2 linked regions of the Elephas maximus indicus genome follow. The protein of the gene in region 2 purifies or fractionates together with the protein of the main gene of each other region. This does not show direct contact. Links are inferred from orthologs where the notes say so. Each region holds a gene or a part of one and is shown on either strand. Other genes may lie near its edges.

Region 1 (3,743 bases), on a different chromosome or scaffold from region 2:
GGAGGGTCTTCCCTGGTCTCACCTGTCGCCATAGAGGAGGGGCTTGCTCAGACACTGGGTACAGGCCTCATGGAACCACTGCAGGCAGCTCCGGCACTGCAGCATTTTCAGGTTCCACCTGAAGGGAACAAAAGACTAGTGTCCTCCAGACACCCCCCCCCACCATAACCGTCTCAAACCCTGTTTGTCACCTACTCCCATTCCCTTCAGCACTCCCCTCCCCCATTCTTTCTACTACATTCCCTGGGATGCCCTCCCCTTTGTCAGTCATTCCTTAGGCCCCTACCCCTCATTACTCACTCCCCAGGGCCGCCACAATAACAGTAGCTCTGCTGCCGATTGCTCTGATGTCCAGCATCCCAGTCTAGTCCCTTTAGTCCATATGGCAGAGAGAGCTTCATGCCCAGCATGGCCCGGGCATAGGGCCCCTTCTTCAGGGCACCCCCCCTCTGCAGAGACAGAACAGGCAGGAGGTCTCAGACCGGTGGGGAGAGGAGAGGCGTGGGAGAGTCTGTGGATGGGGGAGTTCCCACAGAAAGGGCCAGTTCAGTAGGGGTAACAGGGAGGTACCTTTACCTTGGTGGCAATGGCAAAGACACACTGGCGGCAGACCCAGGGAGATGGACCCTCTCCCTCTCCAGGGGCTGGCGCCCTCGGAACGTGGCAGTCCTGGTGATAAGCTGAATAATGATAATGTTGACAATAGACCACTTATTATAGTGCAGACCTGTGTTAGGCACCTGGATAGGATTAGTCTTATCCATTTCAATCTTTGTCTGTGGTCCTGCTGGAGGGGAGGGGTAGTTATTATCCTTATTTTACAGGTGAGGGAACTGAGGCTCCTAGAGGTTAAGGGACTTGTCCAAGGTCATATGACTGTAGAAGAGAGTGTACTTAAACCACCTTCTACCTGCAAAGTCCACACCATCCCCCATTCCATGGCTGCCTCTCCCTGGGTTGGAACAGGGGAAGGTTACAGGGTTGAGGAGACTGGTCAGAGTAGTGACCCGGGGACTGAAGTGACCTGGGGACTCAGACTGGACAGGTAGCATAAGGATGGGTATAGGAGAAAGGGCGAAAGGCAGCCTGGAAGGCTCATGGCAAGCTGGACCAGCCTTCTCACCATGGCGACACTTCTCACAGCTGACCAGCCTGTTCCCAGGGACCACAGTCTCAGAGCGACAAACACAGCAGAGGAGTTCCTCCCCAGGGAGGGCAGCTGTGAGGGAACACAGTGTCAGGGGGCCAGCCTAAGCCTCCTCCTGCCCACCCACCCAAACCAGGTTTCTGTTTCCATGGGATGCACACTCTCAGGCCTCTAAGGTCTCACCAGGGCTAATGTCTTTCCATAAAACCAGAAACTGGGAATCATCCTCAAATTGGACCAGACACACTTCCCGAGCACTGTCCACCTGGAAAGGTGAGCACAGAGGATAAAATGGGAGCCAGAAAATATAAGGGGAATGGAAAGAAGGTGACAGCTCAGAGATCAAAACTCTTACCTTCTTGATGGTCCCCAAGTATAGCAGCCCATCAGTCCATCTGGCCAACACATCTTGACCCTCCCAGAGTCGAGGTCTGGTGCCTGAGGTGGGAGCAGGGGAAGCTGGGTCCCAAAGCGAGGAGGCACCAGAGCGGCTCAGCCGGGGGGGCTGCGCCATTGCATCCTGGGGGGGGGGCTAGCCAGGAATAGGACAGGAGAAGGTTATGAATGCTGAGAATCCTTACCCATTTTTGCCTATTTTTCTGTCCTGAGTTCAAGCAGCTTCGCCCTCAAGTTTAAATCCCTGAGACACCTGGGGCACCAGCTTCCTGACTCCAGCCCTCTCAACTCTGGTGCCTTGCTCTCCTCTCCCTAACACCTCTCCTCACTCCACAACCTCATTCACTAGTTGCCCAGTTTTTAGAGCTCCCCTGGGATATTATACCCTGGCCTTAAAATTTTAGGGGAAACGATGGTCGCAGACGCAAAGATTATTCAGTTACTGTCACCTTCCCCATGCTGTTTAGAGGTGTCATAATTGGGGTGCTCTGTTGTCCAGAAATGTTTTTGGGGAGCTTTCCTCGAGATGTTTTTCAGAGCTTCTCAGAAACGGTTGCCTCCCCAGGCCCTCGTGTCTCATTCAGAACAATCACTCTGGTGCCGGGTTATGTCAGGTCACTCTCAAATTCGGGGCTCCCTGCCCCCGGGTTAGATAACTTCCCTGAGTGCCCCCAGAGGGGGCGTGTCCCATCCCGGTCTCTACTCCCCACGACCGGCGAGTCCGAGAGAGGACTTGAGTCGGCCTGGCCAACCCGATACCCAGGCGGTGTGGGCTCTCCCGCCCGCGCCCTGCGCGCCGACCCCCGGCTCCCTGCCCCCCACCGGCGCCTCTCGCCGCCTCTTTACCGGTGACAGCTGGGGCCGCCGGGAGCCGGGCAGGAGCAGCCGTGGGAGATCAAGGCGAGCCCCTCGCGCGGGGAGGGCACGTCCGGGCGTCGGAGGGCGTGCAGGCAAAGGCCGGGGGGTCCCCAGGCCCAGCCCCTCCGTCCCGGCAGCTCTGGGGCGTATGACGCAGCAGCCAAAGCAGCGGCAGCGGCAGGAGGAGGCGGCGGGGGGAAGGAGGGGAGGGACGGACCGACTAGGGGGAGGGTGGTGGGAGGGGAGGGCCGGGGGGAAGGAGGAGCCGGGGGGGCGGGCACCACCTCACCCCACCTCCCTCACCTCTAGCAAGCCTGGAGGGCGCTGAACGCATGGCGACCCCTTCGCAGCTGGGTCGGGCGGACAGTCGGACCCGGAGGGAGAGGGAATCCCCACAGCCCCTTCCTCTGACGGGAGACCCGCCCTCGGGGCAGGAGGGAATCCCCCCTCCCGGCAGTCTGCCTCGGGTCTGGCGCCAGGCCCCATGCCACATCCATTAACTGTCCCCCCCCCGGACATGGTCACTCAAAGTCCCGCCCCTCTGACCCTAGTCATGGCCCCGCCCACCACTCACCCTTCCCCTTGCCCTCGCCACGCCCTCCCCCTTGAGTGCCCCGCCCTCCTCTCGCCGTAGCCCTCGGCCCCGCCCTCTCCAAGGCAAGTTGTCCCCCCCCCGCCGCGCTTCTGCGCACGCGTGGCCCCTCCCGCGTGCGGCACCTGGGAAGACTGAGCCCCTCCTTTACGGGGCGGTGGCCGTTGGCTGTTGGCGCGAGGGATTCGGCGGGCGCGCGCTCCCGCTTCCCCTGTATGTCCCGCCCCGGGCTTTGAGGGCTAGTGCAAGGACGAGGAGAGATAATACCAGTGACGTCACGGAGAGTCAGCCAATGAACGGGCACAGGGCAGAACCCTGGCGATTCGAACAGGAAGGCAGGGAAAGGGCGGGAAGAGCCAGCAGTTTGCCCAGTGCACGCCTAGTCCCCGCCCCTCGATTCCTGTTCCCACATCCACCAAAGGAGTTTTTCTCCCAGGGGTTGGGGTAGCTGATGGTGTGGGTGAAACGGTGGGGGTGACCATGACGGGGCTGTGGGGTAGCTAGTAGGCGCACCTCCTTGATATTTATGATGGGGGAGGGGACGTTAGGTGAGAGAGAGATGGGCCAGACCAGGGTACAGAACCACAAAGAACTGAAGGTCCCCTTCAGACTCCAGCGGGAGACCTGTCCGAGAGAAAAACTGCAGCCCTCACCCCACAAGACACACACACTTGGCAGAGTGGACAGATCCACAGTTCCCATCCTTAGATGTATGAAAAATAGCTCCCTCCTTGGGTATCTGCTAATAAA
Region 2 (3,743 bases):
CCCTGCATTCTCATTGAAAATAATATTACAGCATTAGTATTTTCTATTGTTGTTTCATTAAGGGAATCAGGTCAACTGCATCAGAGACAATGGTGATAAAAATCAAAGCAGGATTAATTCTTATGAGACCAAAAGGAAAACGCTGCCATGTAGGATGGACAATGCTGATTCAGAAGAGTTAGTTAACAAAGCAATCTCCTTGACTGGTTCTGTACTGCACCAGCACAAAGCTTAATATTCAGTGACTGCTCATTATCATCCAATAAAAACAAGACTTTTTAATGTGTTCATTTTGAATCAAAGTATTAGGGCATGTGTATCAGAGAACAGAACACATCAAACATCAAAAAAAAAAAAAATTGCCATCAAGTCAATTCCAACTGATAGCCACCCCATAGGACACAGTAAAACTGTCCCACAGGATTTACAAGGAGCACCTGGTGGAGTTGAACTGCCGACCTTTTGGTCTTAACTAGTATGCCACCAAAACTCCAACTACCCATTAAGTAACTCCTGACATTAAGATTTGGGGCACTGAAGTCCCAACTGCTGATCAAGTTATAAAGAGATAGTTAGGAACCCAATACCTAGTTTGAACAAAGAAGAAAGAAAAGCATTGGAAGCTTTCTGGAATAGAGGTTTTTGTTTTTTTCTTCTCTTAGGGTCGCTATGAGTCGGAATCGACTCCATGGCACTGGGTTTGGTTTTTGTTTGTTTGTTTGTTTATCTTTAGTTAACTTTCCCATGTAGAAATATAATGTGTTTTTAATGTTGCTGCCTCAAACCTTTTTTTGGGAAGTTGCTAGTGAACTAAGTAGAAAGAAACTTTTAAACTTAGTCTAAGACTGAGGGAGGGGGAAGAGGGGGCGGAACAACTAAATGAATTGTTACATGTTTCATATTATGCACAAATCACTGGAACCAACTGTTGCCCACAGGACTAAGAAGCCCAGGTTTCAGATCCCAAGAATTAAATAGACAGAATTAACATTTTCGATATATTTTTTTAAGCATGCCAATTCAAAGACAAGTATAAGAGAAATAAGTTTGACTACATTTTCTTAACTTTCCCTTTCTCAAAAGTCTTCTAGAGGATAAAATTTCATTTTTAATTCCAGACTCCTTTATTCTAGCACTGTTTTAATGGACACTAAAGTAGTCATTACATCAAAGAGGTCATTTACACTTCAGGGAGTTTTGAAGCCATGCCTTAGCATCAAGTTTCATGACTGGCCTACAACAGCTCTGCCATATAGCAACAGGCAGGGTCCAAATCTCCTAGCTCCCAGTCTCAGTCCCCTGGTGCCTCCGTTCCCACCACCCCCCCCCCCCCCCGCCAAACTTTCTACTATTTATTCATTCAAAAATATGTACTGAGTACCTAGTATGTGCCTGGCACTGTCTTAGGTGCTTGGGGCATATCAGTGAATAAAACAAACACCCCTGCCCTCAGGGAGTTAATTCACACTGTGATACGCCCACTCTGCATAAACTCTAACAATAACAGCTTTATTACTTTTTATAGATGGTCTTTTCCTCTATTACAAATGTGTAAAAAAAAAAAAAAGTGGATTTCACAGCACACATTCTTCTGTGTAACTAAGTAATCTCTTGTATCAATGTCACACCATCCCAGCCCTGGGGGATTCCAAAGCTTAAAATAGACAAGCTCTCTCAGAAACCCCTGGTCGAGTTAGCAAATTTTCAGGCTGGAAACTTCATTGAATACCGCCTCCCTTAGCTCAAAAGCACGGGGTGAGAGGATTTTTCTCTTCAAAGACATGGCAGCAAACGTGGAGGAAGACACTCACTTTCAACGCCATCCTTGCTTACAACCGTTTGTCTACTTAGGCTCTTTACCCTCATCCTCAACCCCTCTAGCTGCTAAACAAAAATACCCAGGCTACTCCAGTTACAATCTTATATTTCACCTTTCAAAAGACCACCCACAGTATTCCACCAGCGACATTAACATCCTTGTACCACTTCCCCTCGCTGCCCCCGGGGCAATTCCTCAGTAGTAACTTTTTACCACAATAAAAATTTGTCCCACATTTCCTAACTGGCACGTCACAAATACACTTTGCCTTTGCTTCAAGGAGCTTTCACTTATCATTTGATCCTTAGAAAAACCCCGGGGGTGGGCAGGGATTGACGAATGTGATCATTCGAGGGGGAGGCAGCCTCTTCCTCCAGGCTGGGACAAGGGTGAAGCAAGTGGGGCGTTCTCAGGCACTCACCCTGCACTTGCACGACCCTGAGAGTGAGCGCCCCTTAATCCTGCGCCTTAGGCGCCTCACTCCTCATCCTACTCATGGTCCTGCTATTACTGCCACCCCTTCCTTTTACTGCCATGACCCCCCAAAGCCATCGCAAGCTGAACCCCTGTCACTGGCCCTCGTCGTGCACAGCCCCAGGTCCCCAGGAGACGACCCCGCGCTAAGGGCCCCGCAGGCGCCCCCGCCCACCCGCGCCGGCTCCGAGCTGGGACTCCCGCCCACCCGGCCCACCCGGCCCTCCAACGGGATTCCCCGTCCCGGGCCCGCCCCCGCCGCTCCTCCTCCCGGACACGCCACCCTCCCCGCCTCAGACGCCTCCTCGCCTGGGGCTCCCTCATCCCATCGCCCCTTTTCCCGCAGCCCTCGGAGCGGGGAGGGGGCGCCCCGGCACCCCGCCTAGGCAGGCAGTGTATCTCTCCGCTTCTTCCCAATTCCCCGATCCCTTCGCCTCTCCCCGCCTCAGGCTGGGGGCGACGAAGCGGGGAGGCCCGGCCCCACCGCCCGGTCCCGGCTTGTTTACTCACTCACCCTCCATCCTGAGCCGCAGGGACCCGCCGCCAGCGCGCCTGCGCGCCTCGGCCCCGCCCCCGCGCCGCGGCCCCGCCTCACGCCTCCTCCCGGCGCGTGCGCGTTGGGCCGGCGACCCGGCCGCCAGGGTTTCCTTCGCAAGTTTGCCCTTTGGCGCCAGTAGTCGGGAGTCCGGAACCCAGGGTGGTGCGGCGCGAGCGCTACGATTTCCAAGGCGGCCCTGTCAGGCAGAGGAAGGGCTCTGTGGATCTCTTTCTGAGTCTTGACCTTATCCAAGGGTTCCACCATCCCCACACTTTGGTGACAGCTATGTCTCACTTCGACATTTGAAGCCAACCTGGAGCCTCTTCGTACTGACCGCTTCACACCTACCTATGAAGTTCTAAGTTACTCTATAAGCTCTAAACTACCCTGTTGCTTTGTTTACACCTGACTTACCTATTTATGCAAATAGTTTTCCCAGTCACCTAAATTTAAAAATTTAGTATTATATCAAATTATCTCCTTACAAGATCCCTATTAGTTAAAAAGGAGAAAAAAATAGTAACTTTACAGGGGAGAAACCTAGCAGACACCACCTTAACTAAATGATCAAAGTTAACATTACCAATGTTGAGACTTATTCTTATCAGGTACCTTCCAGTATGAAGCACTGAGAAGGGTACAAAATCACTTCTGTAGTGTTCTTGCCAAAAATGCATAACCTGACTTTAATCATGAGGAAACACTCAAACTCAAATTGAGGAGTAATCTACAAAACAACTGACCAGCACTGTTCAAAAGTGACAAGGTCATGAAAGAAAGAAAGGACAAGAGACTGTCCCAGATTGAGGGAGACTAAGGAGACATGACAACAAAAGGTAATTTGTGACCCTGGATTGAACCCTGGCCCAGAAAAAGAACAGTAGTGGGAAAATTGTTGATATTAGAATAAGG

Evidence for each region. The genes of interacting proteins can lie anywhere in the genome.
Region 1: the proteins of EZH1 (region 2) and PHF1 purify together in Homo sapiens (affinity purification with mass spectrometry; 5 studies listed by BioGRID and IntAct, with this or other methods). This does not show direct contact. The link is inferred for Elephas maximus indicus from reciprocal best matches to the Homo sapiens genes EZH1 and PHF1.

What each region holds. Positions count from the first base shown.
Region 1 is NC_064819.1:96,235,310-96,239,052, reverse strand, and holds the start of PHF1 (PHD finger protein 1), read right to left. Parts: upstream 2,911-3,743; 5' UTR 2,390-2,910; intron 1,680-2,389; 5' UTR 1,662-1,679; coding exon 1,503-1,661; intron 1,413-1,502; coding exon 1,331-1,412; intron 1,220-1,330; coding exon 1,124-1,219; intron 681-1,123; coding exon 577-680; intron 450-576; coding exon 301-449; intron 119-300; coding exon 23-118; intron 1-22. UniProt on the Homo sapiens protein: Polycomb group (PcG) that specifically binds histone H3 trimethylated at 'Lys-36' (H3K36me3) and recruits the PRC2 complex. Involved in DNA damage response and is recruited at double-strand breaks (DSBs).
Region 2 is NC_064837.1:49,590,167-49,593,909, forward strand, and holds the start of EZH1 (histone-lysine N-methyltransferase EZH1), read right to left. Parts: upstream 2,892-3,743; 5' UTR 2,808-2,891; intron 1-2,807.